Nothobranchius furzeri: one gene and its partner. The protein of the gene in region 2 interacts with the protein of the main gene of each other region in a biochemical or structural test. Links are inferred from orthologs where the notes say so. Each region holds a gene or a part of one and is shown on either strand. Other genes may lie near its edges.

Region 1 (6,449 bases), on a different chromosome or scaffold from region 2:
TTTCTCCGTTTCTGTAAAACGAACTGAGCTTTGACCGTTTTTGTGTTTGCCAACATGAATCAGTTACAGATGAACGCATGAGAACCGTCCTCTGAACGTCTCATTCAGATACAGTCATGCTGCTGGTTATTGTTGGTATTCATCATGACACACAGAAAATGAACCCCCCTCCCTCCCCCCGAAGGTGACCTCTGACCTTTTCACTTTCATTCTGACTCGTCTCTCCTGCAGCTTTTGTTTTGCTTTCTGAAGCGTCTGTAGGAACGTCTCTTGGCTGATCGGGAACGTGACGATCTAATTCCAGGTGCTTCGGGTGAAGGTGCAGCTTCAGCTGAAACCTCTAAGGTTCTGATCGTCTGAAACACCTTTGGATGAGTTTTCCTGCAGCCTGAGGCTGTTTTGGTCTGTTTCTGTAGCAGCGGCCGACGTTTGCACCTATCTCTGACCTTTAAACACAATAAGACTCCAGATCAGCAGCTTTATGGGACCTGCTGGACCTCGGAGCCGGAACGTTGTTCGTCTGATTATTCACACATTTATCGTGTTTACAGCTGGGTGTTTTTGCACCATGAAAGCCTTGTTTTGTGTCCCAGCTCAGAATTCCTTGGAACCTGTGGAGGGTGTTTGGATGAGGAGGATCCATGCTGATCAGGTTTCATGTCGGGTTTCCTGTTGCAGAATTCCAAACACCCTAAAGAAATCTTTTCTAGAGAAGCTGTCAGAAAGTGAAAGTTATTCTTTTTGAATTATTTACCAGCAGCTGAAACTGGAAGTTTCTTTATTACTGGGAAAGTTTCAGCAGGAAGGGAGGGAGGGGCGATTGAGGAGCTGGCGAGAAGTGATGAAACGGGTCACAGAAAAGTTTCACTTTGATGTATTTGTAATATATAATGTTATATTATTATTATTATATTGTTATTACAATATAATAAACACAAGACAATTACTAAAATAATAAAACAATGTTGATCACATGACTGACGTCCAGTCCCTAGAGCAGCAGCCCTCTACAACTGGGCCGAGGCTCGGTACCGGTCCATTAAATATTTTTAAAAATTCCAGAAATATTAGTTTATATGCAGTTGTCCACAGGAGCTTTTATTTTGAAAATTAGCAGTATTAAGCCTCCAAATATCCCAGATTTTAATTCCGTTTAATTTTATTTTTCGTAGTTATTTTTGAGATCCTTATAAATCTTTTACAGGAAATGTTCTCTTAAAATAACCAAAATAAATGGTCTGTAAATAAGGTTAAGAGATCCAGAGATAAACATTTAGAAGTTTTTTCCAAATATAAACATATTTTGTACAATCAGACCAGATCTGTGAGGTTTTTCAGGAAGTGATCCGACTTAAATCCCTTTAATCCTGCCGGTAAAACAACGCAACCTGTGGTCTAACGGAGCAATTTTCCCTGTAAGGCAATGGGTTTCCATGTTATTTGCCTGCTGCTTAATGGTTTTATTAAAGGTTTCAATGAAAAAAGCATTTCAACCAGGATCAAACATTTAAAGTTTCAAAATAAAAGCACAAACAGCATCATGGCCATTATTCCCTGAATCATTTCGAACTTCACTGTTTTCAGGTGACCTCTGACCTTTGGAATCTCTCAACGGGCGACTAAACAGGATCAGATTAGTTAGAATTAAGCTACAAAAACACACACACACACACACACACACACACACACACACACACACACACACACAGCTGAGACACACAAAAAAACTTATCTATAAGCTGATCCTTCTTCCTCCCACCATTAGCTTCTCCAGGCCCTGATGGAGGTGTAACCTCAATAAATAAAACCCATCCGGTGTCATTCAGCCAGAGCGAATCACTTCACGTCCTAATGTGGAATGTTGGGATTGGGAAACTGTGTCTGTGTCAGATCAGTGAGAGCACTCGGGAAGACACGGCGCTCAGAACTTTTAATCATCTGTGATTTCTGCTGCTTTCTAGGAACTTACTCAGAGGAAGTGTGTGTGTGTGGGGGGGGGTGGGGGGTGGGGGGGGGGGTGTTTGGTCTAAAGGAAGGATGGAGAGATGAACTGAAGGAGAGGAAGAGGAGGAGGGGTTGTGTTGTAGCAGATCAGCCCGTGGTTGCCTGGTTGCATCATCACACAATCACATTTATAAATAGAATTACGTCATCCAGCTCAGAGCTGCTCCTCTTGGCTCCTCCCGCCACGTCACAGGCCCCGCCCCCAGCCCGGATCATAAAAGCCGGTGATGCAACCGATTCGGGTCAAACGCAACTCAGAGCAGCGGCGACGAGCGAGGCTCCTGCAGGCGTTCACTTCCTCAACCCGTCCGGACCGTCCGATCCAGAACCAACAGGTAGGCGGGGGGTTCCGGAGGGAGGGGGTGTTTCGGGGGAACGGGGATGTCCCGGTGAGGAGCGGAGCGCTTCCCGGTGGGCTGAATGAAACCATCAGGATTTGATTTATTTAAGAAATAAACGGAAGTTTTTATTGATTCAACTTATTAGATTTGAACTTTGACCGAACTTGTTTGAACTTTTAAAGTTGATTCAAACAGTTTATAGTAAACAAAACGCATAAAATGACTTTAAGATGTTATAATGCAGATTAACTGTAAACGTGAGCCGTTTTCTTATGAAGATGAAATAATTCCTTGATGTAATGGTTCAGATTTAAGTGTTGAGAAAAACACAAAAGAGTCGAACTTAATAAATAAATAGAGCTGCACGTGCAGCTTTCACGATGTTGCTCCTGCTGAGATTCAAACCTGATCATAAATCCTTCTGCTGTGTTTGGGTCAACGGTAACTCCTGCTTTATTCTATTAAGTTCAGGGCTCCTCTAGGTTAGATGTTTGGCTGTCAGCAGAGCTGTTCAGGAACAGCTGATCTTCTCATTAGTTGAGTTTGTTCCTGAGGAGTTACTCAGCCGAAAGAGAGCAGGAGCTGCTCCTTCAGCAGCTTTAGGAGCTTCTTGGATTATTTGATGTGAAACTTGTTGCATATTTGATTTAGTCATTGTTTTTTATTTTTAATTAGAATGATGCTGCAGCATCCTGGTCCTTCTCTGGCCGACATCAGCTGCTCTGCTCTGGTGCCCTGCCTGTCCCCACCGGGGACGCTCACCCTGGACGACTTCACTAATTTCACACCCATCGTGAAGGAGGAGCTGCGCCTGGCCATCCAGACCAAGCGTCTGTCCAACGGGCTGAGCGCCGACGTCAGCTCAGACGGCTCCAGCTCGGACCGGGCCTACGAGCGGCCCTCCGCCAGGCTCAAGAGAGAGGTGAGACGGAGCGAACTCTGAGGTTACCTGGTCTGTTTGTCAGACGGGGATCAGGAGAAGTAACGGCGTCTGTCTCTTTGGCTTTTAGTTGACTCATGACGAACACGAGAGGAGGAAGAGGAGGAGAGAAAGAAACAAGATTGCTGCAGCAAAGTGTCGCAACAAGAAGAAAGAGAAGACGGAAGGTCTGCAGAAGGTAAGAGACTTTTGTTCCCTTTCACTCTGAAACCCAGCTCATGAAGAACAACATTAACTCCTCCATTGTCCCTGTCCTCCTCAGGAGTCGGAGAAGCTGGAGAGTGTCAACGCGGATCTTAAAGCTCAGATCGAGGAGCTGAAGCAGCAGAAGCAGCAGCTGGTCTACATGCTGAACCTGCACCGGCCCACCTGCATCGTCCGGGCCCAGAACGGCCAAACGCCCGAAGACGAGAGGAAGCTTTTCATCCAGCACATCCAGGAGAGCACCTTACAGCTCCACAGCCTCACCTCCTCCTCCTCCACCTCCTCCTCGTTATCTACCGCCACAGTAGCACCTCTGGACGGAGGCGTCCTGACGCTTGACGACATCCAGTGTCTATGATGGTGATGCTGTGAGACTTTCTCCACCTGCGCCAAGAACGAGGAGACGTGGATCAGCTGCTGGAAGCAGCGTACAAAGCCACGTCTCCGTCCTTCACCTCCCAGCTGCTGGGACGTCCTGGACAGAGGACAGACGCCGACGCACTGAAACCAAACAAAAACCCAAACTTCACTGATGTTTTCAATAGTTAGTGGTTTGATTTTTGTCCCGGGGTGATTTTAAGGTGACTGATGCACACAAACCGTTCTGTGGAAAGAAGAGTAGCTGCAGGCCGGTTGAGTTTAACCTGCTGTAGAAAACCTATTTATTAAGGTAGGATGTGATGTTAGCGACCCTCTGAAGCTGCTGCTGCTAACCCCTCAGGACACAGACGTAGATGTTTAACTAACGGGAGTGTTTCTAGTAATAACGGGAATGATTCCGTGCTGCAGCCATGGCTGCAGCCTGTAAACATGACAGGATAATCGTATATGCAGATGATGAACTTCTGTTCTGTTCTCCTGCAGGACTGATTGTATTATTAATCCATCATTTTATATCTGTGTTGAAAAGAAGCTAAAGTGTTATTTCTACTTAATTCTGTTCCCTTTTTGAGCTTCTCAGACCAAAACCGCAATTATTAGTTAAATAAGCATATTTATTAAACATCACATTAAATGTCTCTGCTGAGTCTGTGATCCTGCGCCGTCTCATTTGTCCTTTTGGGGGTTTGGATGGGATTTGTTGTGTTTAGCAGGTTTCTGCTGATGAGGATGGTTTATGTTGTCTGTAGTTTGTGATTTTAGCCAAAGGCCACTTTGTTAAAGAGACGCAGGCGTCTGGTCGTGGTGTGTGTGTCGTTTAGCATCCTGATGCTCGTTAGACACCTCATTTGTGCTTTATTGTGCCTGATTTTGTCACTGAAAGTTGTTTTTGTAGCTGCTCCCAGCCTAAATGAATAAAATGTCAAATATCAGGAACAACTGCACTGCTGCTGCGCACTTCCTGTTGTCACCTGTTGAGCTTTGTTTTTGATACTTTTGATAATTAAAACATGTATTGTCAGTCACACTGTATGGTTTGACTTTTTCTCTTAAAATGGAATGCAGCCAGTACAGAATTCATTAAAAAAGTAAAATAGCACAAAAGGCTAGTTTTAATCTGCATGTGAAACCTGGCGTAGCACCAACAACCTTTCTGTGGTTTTGTTTGTGATGGAAACAAAAGGTCACACTGAAGGAAACGTTTAGTCTAAGTCTCTAAAACGAGTGATCAGCTGTGGCTGCTGCTGTACAAGTGCAGCTGAGAAGTTGCATCATCCCGCATAAATGATGAGACACATTCCTGATAAATGAGTCGGCTTGTTTCTCTCCTGAGGGAAAAGTTTTATGACACAGAGAAACAGAAACAACTCTGGACACGTCGGAGGTTTAACTGAACTTGGATCCACCTGCTCTCACGAAACAACATCTCCATAAAGCTCTTTCCCCTGGTCCATCACAAAACATCCCACTTGTGCTGACACTCCCTAATTTGCACAGCTGTCTGTAGGATTAAGGCCCCGCCCACTCCACCACAGGACTAACAGAGGGTGGAGGACGGCATGTCCCCACTTGAAATGTAGAATCTGATTACATTTGTCTCCACCTGTTGTGGAACGAACAGAAACGTTGAAGTTTCTTCATGTTTCTGTAAACCTGACAGCCTGCAGCCTGTTGTCTCTGAGGTTAGTAGAGGTCATGACCAATGATCAGCTCCATCCTGCAGCTTCTATTCATCCTGATGACTCAGAATTATTATTTCCATAGTTCTAGATTGAGTTGTAATCTGGGAGATCTGCTTTTTACGTATTATTGTGGAAGCCGGCTGCTGGCAAAACTTTATTTTTCGAACACAATTTTGTCACATTTAGCGTGTTAGCTACACGTTTTTACATAAAATTCTTTTTTACACTAATAATGAAAATATCCACACTGAAATATCATGATACATTTCTGTTGTGATACTGAATCAATATTTAAAGGCACAATAAATAAGAACTTTACAGATAAATCATCACAAAACGATCATCTTAGAAGGAAGGTAGTACTGAAACTGATTTACTTCTTAGGTCTTCACTTTTTCTTACAAAATAGACGAAGAGGGACATAATCTGTGTTTACAGTCTGTTAGCGTAGTGTGTTTGCTGAGTCAGCGCTGCAGCGCCAACACTTGTAATTCAACACCGACTGGCAAAACGTAGCAGTGTTTTGTAAAGCTCCAAAGTCAGTAAAAAGGAGCGACCCAGAAGTTAAATCTTGCTCTCCTAGGAAGCCGCAGCATCTTTTTCTAATTTATGCATTATTGGGTGATGCATGCTATGGAGCTCCGGGAGTTGACGTTACTTCTCCCGGCATGCAACAGTTCAAATCGAATGGCGCCATCTTGGCGGGCAGCTGCCCGCAGTTAGGCTGATGTTATTTGCAGAAAACCCAAACTAGAAATGGGAAATATGGTAGATACCTGTTGTGCCCAAGGATGCCATGACAGATGCAGACGAGATAAGGGAAGAGCCGAAATCCCCAAGATGTGGAACACAGCAAACATTGGACCATCGCAATAAACACGCTAGTGACCAGGCTAA
Region 2 (5,568 bases):
GAAAATACTTAATTTTTCTTTTTGTACTAAAATAAGATAAAATGTCTAAAAGTTTCTTTATTTTTCTTTTGTATATATCTGTTTTTGCAGTGTATAAATAATACCATAGACTCTGAGCTCTTGATCAAAATAGAAATAATCATATTTGTGGCTCAAAATGTTATTTTACCTTCAAAAATATAATAATTATTTAAATAACAAAACTGTTATTATTAGTCTGGGAGGATCAGTTGCCTAATCCATCTTGTATCATAGATTAAGAACATCCTGTATGCAGGTATACTGTTATGACCTTCTTCAGCACCTCTCTCTTTATTCTGCTCTCCCCAACTATTCCATCTTCCTCAGGATCCACTGATTTCCCTCTTTCCTATTGACTCTCTCTCTTTCTTAACATTTTTAATCACAATTGTCCATTTTTGCTCATTTTAAATATATATTTTAAACATTTTCTAAATGCTTTTTTATATTTTTACATTTCTTTTTGTTTTTGTGAAGCGCCTCGTGATTTTTATCTTGAGAGGCGCTATAGAAATGATACTTTCTTCTTCTTCTACTGGCACTTTAGGTCAAAGTAAAACGGATTTTGTGTTTGTGTCAGAATGAGAAATTGGTTTTTTAATCCCTTCCTGGGAGCAGACAGAAGAAAAACAGTATTTTGAGAAAGACCAAGAAAAACCTTCTTAAATCTGTTTCATGTGCTATAATCAATAACATTATGTTCTTCAAAACTCAATTTAATCAGATTTAACCCCCCCCCCTTGCTGTTGCTTCTGTAATTCCTAAAATAACCAGCAGAGGGGGCAAGACACCAATCATGACACGCAGACTGCTACACCCAGTCACGTGGTCGGGATTATTACACAACATGGATTTCCAAAAATTTTGGCTCCACGGAAGGAGAAACCTTCATCAGCTCTATGAAAATGAGTCAGAAAAACTAACATCTATCCAGTTTTATGAGTAACTGATGATGTCATATGTGGTTTCTGTTTCATTGAGACTTCCTTTAATGAAATCAACCATAACAATTATGGTTACAGGATATGTTTTGAATTCATTGGTAACAATTAGAGGAAACATTTGGATTGCTGAGCAGCGTTTAATTCAAACACAAAGGCATGAAGTCAAATAACTGAAGGCTACAAAGTAACAGCAACAGTCTGTGCAACAGAAATATTCTTCACATTTAAAACACAACGAAGTAATGACAATTTGGTAAAAATAATAAAAATAAAAGAAAGACATACACAAAGTCTGAGTATAATAAACACTGAATATATGGCGCCACTTGGTGCCCAAGCTTGAGGGCAACATTCGAGTTAGTCAAAAACATGCAAATCTGTCTACAGAAATACAAAATAGGATAAATGATTATCCCTCACACACACACACACACACACACACACACACACACACACACACACACACACACACACACACACACACACACACACACACACACACACACACACACACACACACACACACACACACACACACACACACACACACACACACACACACACGAGGTAGAACATGATTTCAATCAACTGAAGGCATCTGTTCTTCATTTCAGCCAATGTCCAATAAACTAATTATTAAGACATGACAAAAGATTATAATCTAGTGATCCGCTGTCATCAGGCAGCTGCATAATAAATAAAGATATTTTCGTTTACATTGGCCGATATCATTGTCAAAGTCCCTTTAATATGACCGCTATCTCATGTTCTACCACGCATGTTTACATGTTAACAATCCCAAATAACATTTTAAAGCAGCCGATTAGTGATGGCAGCCGGTTTGGCACACATATCCGGGCTACATGTAGAAGAAACCAGCATCTAGAACGTCCATGGTGCTTATATGCTGGTCTGTAGCCCAACAGGAGGTCTGTCCGTCCCACTAGTGTACTTGGACTTCATGTGGCAGCAGCTGGCAGCCGCTGTTGACGTGCGTGAGAACTTTCTGTTTCAGCTGGGCCACTTGCTCCCTCAGCAGGCTGGCCGTGGAGGCCAGGTCGGTGTTCTGGGTTTTCAGCGTTTTCACCTTGTCCTCTAGCCTGGAGATCCGCTCCAGTTTGCGCCTCCGACACTTGGAGGCTGCAATCCGGTTTCGGAGCCTCTTCCTCTCGGCTTTGATGCGCTCCTGTGAGTCCATGTCGACGGGGGACAGCGGCGGGCTTTCCCCGAAGCTCTGCACGTCAGGGACGGTCTGAGGCTCCTCCTTCAGCGGCTGAACCCGAGAGAGCTCCTGCTGCAGCGGGGCTGCCCCCAAGTGATGCGACGGAGGCGGCGGGAACGGAACCGTGTCCGTGGAGTAGTTGACCGTGGTTCCCAGTGGCCCACTCCCGTAACTGTTCAGATTCGTGTAAACAGGTAGTTCCGGCTGTATGGTAACCGGGGCGATGTTAACACCAAGGTCCAGAGTGTTGTTGGTCTGCCCGGTTCCGTTCAGCTGGTTCTGCTTGTGTAGGTCTTCCAGCGCCTTCACGAAGCCCTCGGCGAACTCCTGCTCGTCCGTCACCGTTTTCGGGTAGATGAACTGGGAGCTGGTCGGCGTCGTGGTGACCATCCCATTGGACTGGATTATTAGCCTCTCCAGCTCCGGGGAGGCGAGCTTGAGCAGCCCCAGGTCCGGGGAGTTAAGGATGTTCTCGGCGTCACGAAGGTGCGGTTTGAGGTCAGCGTCGTCCGCCAGGCTCAAGCTGATGTCCTTCTTCATCATTATTTCCGTTTGAGAAAGGAAAAGGCTGCCGGTTCGACGCTACCTCAGAGCGGCGTCCTACCCATAACCCCAGAGAAAAGACCTGCGGCGGGAAATATCTGTTGTTATATTTCAGGTTTAATCTTCACTGCGCTCAGGTGACACCGCCTTGCTGCTTCTACGAAACTGAGGACTTGCTCGTGCGCACCGCCTCGAGCCTTTCTAGACTCTTACGTCCCTTTGTGGCACGTCAGAGCGCGCACATTGGGCAGAAATTACGTCCTCCGTAAAAGAAACAAGCTGAACAAAGAGGAGGCAACTGACAGGATGTCTCACTCGGCGCGTTTTGTCGGTACCCGAACAATAAATTACAGTTATCTGACTGTTTATGGATTTATTTTGTCTGGATTAGTTTTGCTTTTTATTATTATAACAGTTGGCATTGGCTACAACTTCAGTATTTCTAAAACGGTGTGATACTGTATGTCATCGAAATAAAAAAGACGTTTTAAAACTTTTGAAAAGTAAAAACATCCATTATTGTATAGCCAGAAAAGGCAGCTTTATTTTTGTAGCACATTTCACACACAGAGGCAATTCAGTGGGGTTTCCATTGGCAAGACTAGAATTAACATTAAAATCAACGTGACAGCACCATTTAAATACACAAATTCGTTTCAGATTTAAAAAAAGAAAAAGTTAAAGAGCAAGTCAACCCCTGTCAGATTCTTACTCAACTCCCTCTTCATGTTTGAAAAATGCAACAAATGCTGTTGCCTTGCAGACCGAGAGAGCGGAGCCGCAAACCAATACACACACACGCAGGCTCACAACGACATTGTGACATCATAAGGACCAGTTTACATCATAGCATACCTCTTAGCCAATAGCAGTGGCAGATTTAAATTCAAATGCAGTGCAGAGTTTTTACCTGACGACGGCACAACACTGACAGTTTTAGGCAGAATATTTAAATTTTAACTAAGATGCACTGAAGTGCCAAATTATTGACTACACGTGTCTGCAGCACAATTAGACACGCATTTATGTAGTTTATCAGCAAAAAAAAGTTGATTTGGGGGTGACTTGCTCTTTAAAAGGTGAGCAGTTACAGTGCAGAAGGTGCAGCATGAAAACAGTCATAATAGTAAATATGAACATTATAATTAGGCCTACATTAACATGCAAACTTAAACCTTCTATTTGTCAAACTGAATTTAGACAGGCTATTCTACACCATCAACAATAAAACACAAACTAAACCAGCTTTTCTCTGCATTTCTGTTTAGTTAATGTTTGAGAAAAGTTATAATAAATATATTAACATTTCTCAATTTATTTATTTTTCATTTTTACCGACAGTTCCAGACATAGTTCAGCAAATTAAAATAAAATAACATAAAAAATGCCCTTTTTAAAGGATTAAGCTCAGCTTTTTGCAATAAGTCAAAATGAAAGAAAACATAAGACAAATGGTCTAAGTGTCTACCACACTATTTACAAAGTCCCTGGGCTTTTCCTTTTTACTGGATTGTTTTTCTTTGAAAAGAAGCCTCAACCACGAGTGGTCCTTTGGGGTTTACCCAAAACACACAACACTGTATTTACACGCATGTCCTTCCCTCTCTCAGTCCTAACATGTGACTTTAACTTTAGTTGTTTTTGTTTATGATGAGCTACTATGCAACCCAGAGCTAGAGTGTTTCCAAGGTCAAGAACGATTTTTTACTTCCTGCAGAGTTGTTCTTTTTTATTATAGAAGATCTTTGGCTATATTTCTGTTGCCAAGGAGAAGAGAAATAAAGACAAACACTGAGGAGTTACAATGATATTTGATGCCATGATGAGTTTTTTTTTTTTACTTATAAAATCTGGAAAGTTTAAAACATGTTTTCATTGTCAGAAACTGAAACAACAACAAAAAAAAGAACATTTAAATACAACTGGTCAACGAAATGAACTTGTGTGATGTCGCGTTGCACAGAAAACTAATGCAAATAAAATTATAGACTGTTTAGCTTTGAAGCCCATGTTTTATAGTCAGAACTTAAAGATTTAATTAATATTTGCACAAGAGAAGCTGGTGTTGGAACTGAGCAACAGAAAATATAACACCTCTGTGTGGTCAAAGCTGACCCAGATAAGATAGATCACTTCTCCTTTCAGCCTCCAGTGTTTCTGGACTTCAGCGTTTGGGGAAGTTGTGTCTGAAACTTGGTTTGGTTTCAACCTTTCCTCTGGTCAGTCAGCAGGTTTTGGTTTTTGGCCTTGTTCTGTTTTCAGATTTAACTGTTTCTATTCATGACGCTTGTGCGTTTCATCTCAAGCATTTCCAGTCACATCTCTCGCTGCCTTACACCTTCATAAACACCATGGCTGCTTTCAGTAACAGAGAGTTTGCTCTCTAATCCTGCACCACATAAGCTTTGTACAAAGATTAAACGTTAAACATTTCCCTACCTTGACCACACTCATATTCACAAAGCAGCTACTGAATAAACCAGTACAGCAATTGTTCCAGAACAATGCAGTTGCCTTCACTTCTTCTCCAGCCTGCGGAGGGTTACAGAGAGGAGGTTTATGCGTCACAGGTAGGCCCCATCCATCTGCAAAGCTGTGTGCGGGCGGATCACATGGTAGACCCTGTGATGTCACATCTCTTAACACGGGCAGAGATGGAGGTGGTAATGTGTGTCTGGGGGTGGGGTAACCAACAGAAGAGACATTTATGTCTAAAAGCTGTACATCAGTGTGGAGAGTGGGGTGCTGAGCCTGCAGGCGGTAGCTGGGAAAAAACATGCAGCTATCTTTGTCACATTCAACACCCAGTCTCTTTGTATTTCCTTTATGTACAACAGA

The links.
Region 1: the proteins of jund (region 2) and atf3 form a complex in vitro, tested with the Homo sapiens proteins (2 studies listed by BioGRID and IntAct, with this or other methods). The link is inferred for Nothobranchius furzeri from reciprocal best matches to the Homo sapiens genes JUND and ATF3.

Annotation. Positions count from the first base shown.
Region 1 is NC_091742.1:15,051,994-15,058,442, reverse strand, and holds atf3 (cyclic AMP-dependent transcription factor ATF-3), read left to right. Parts: upstream 1-2,235; 5' UTR 2,236-2,339; intron 2,340-3,020; 5' UTR 3,021-3,021; coding exon 3,022-3,267; intron 3,268-3,355; coding exon 3,356-3,463; intron 3,464-3,547; coding exon 3,548-3,847; 3' UTR 3,848-4,524; downstream 4,525-6,449.
Region 2 is NC_091748.1:65,725,265-65,730,832, forward strand, and holds jund (transcription factor JunD), read right to left. Parts: upstream 2,949-5,568; 5' UTR 2,731-2,948; coding exon 1,909-2,730; 3' UTR 1,691-1,908; downstream 1-1,690. UniProt on the Homo sapiens protein: Transcription factor binding AP-1 sites.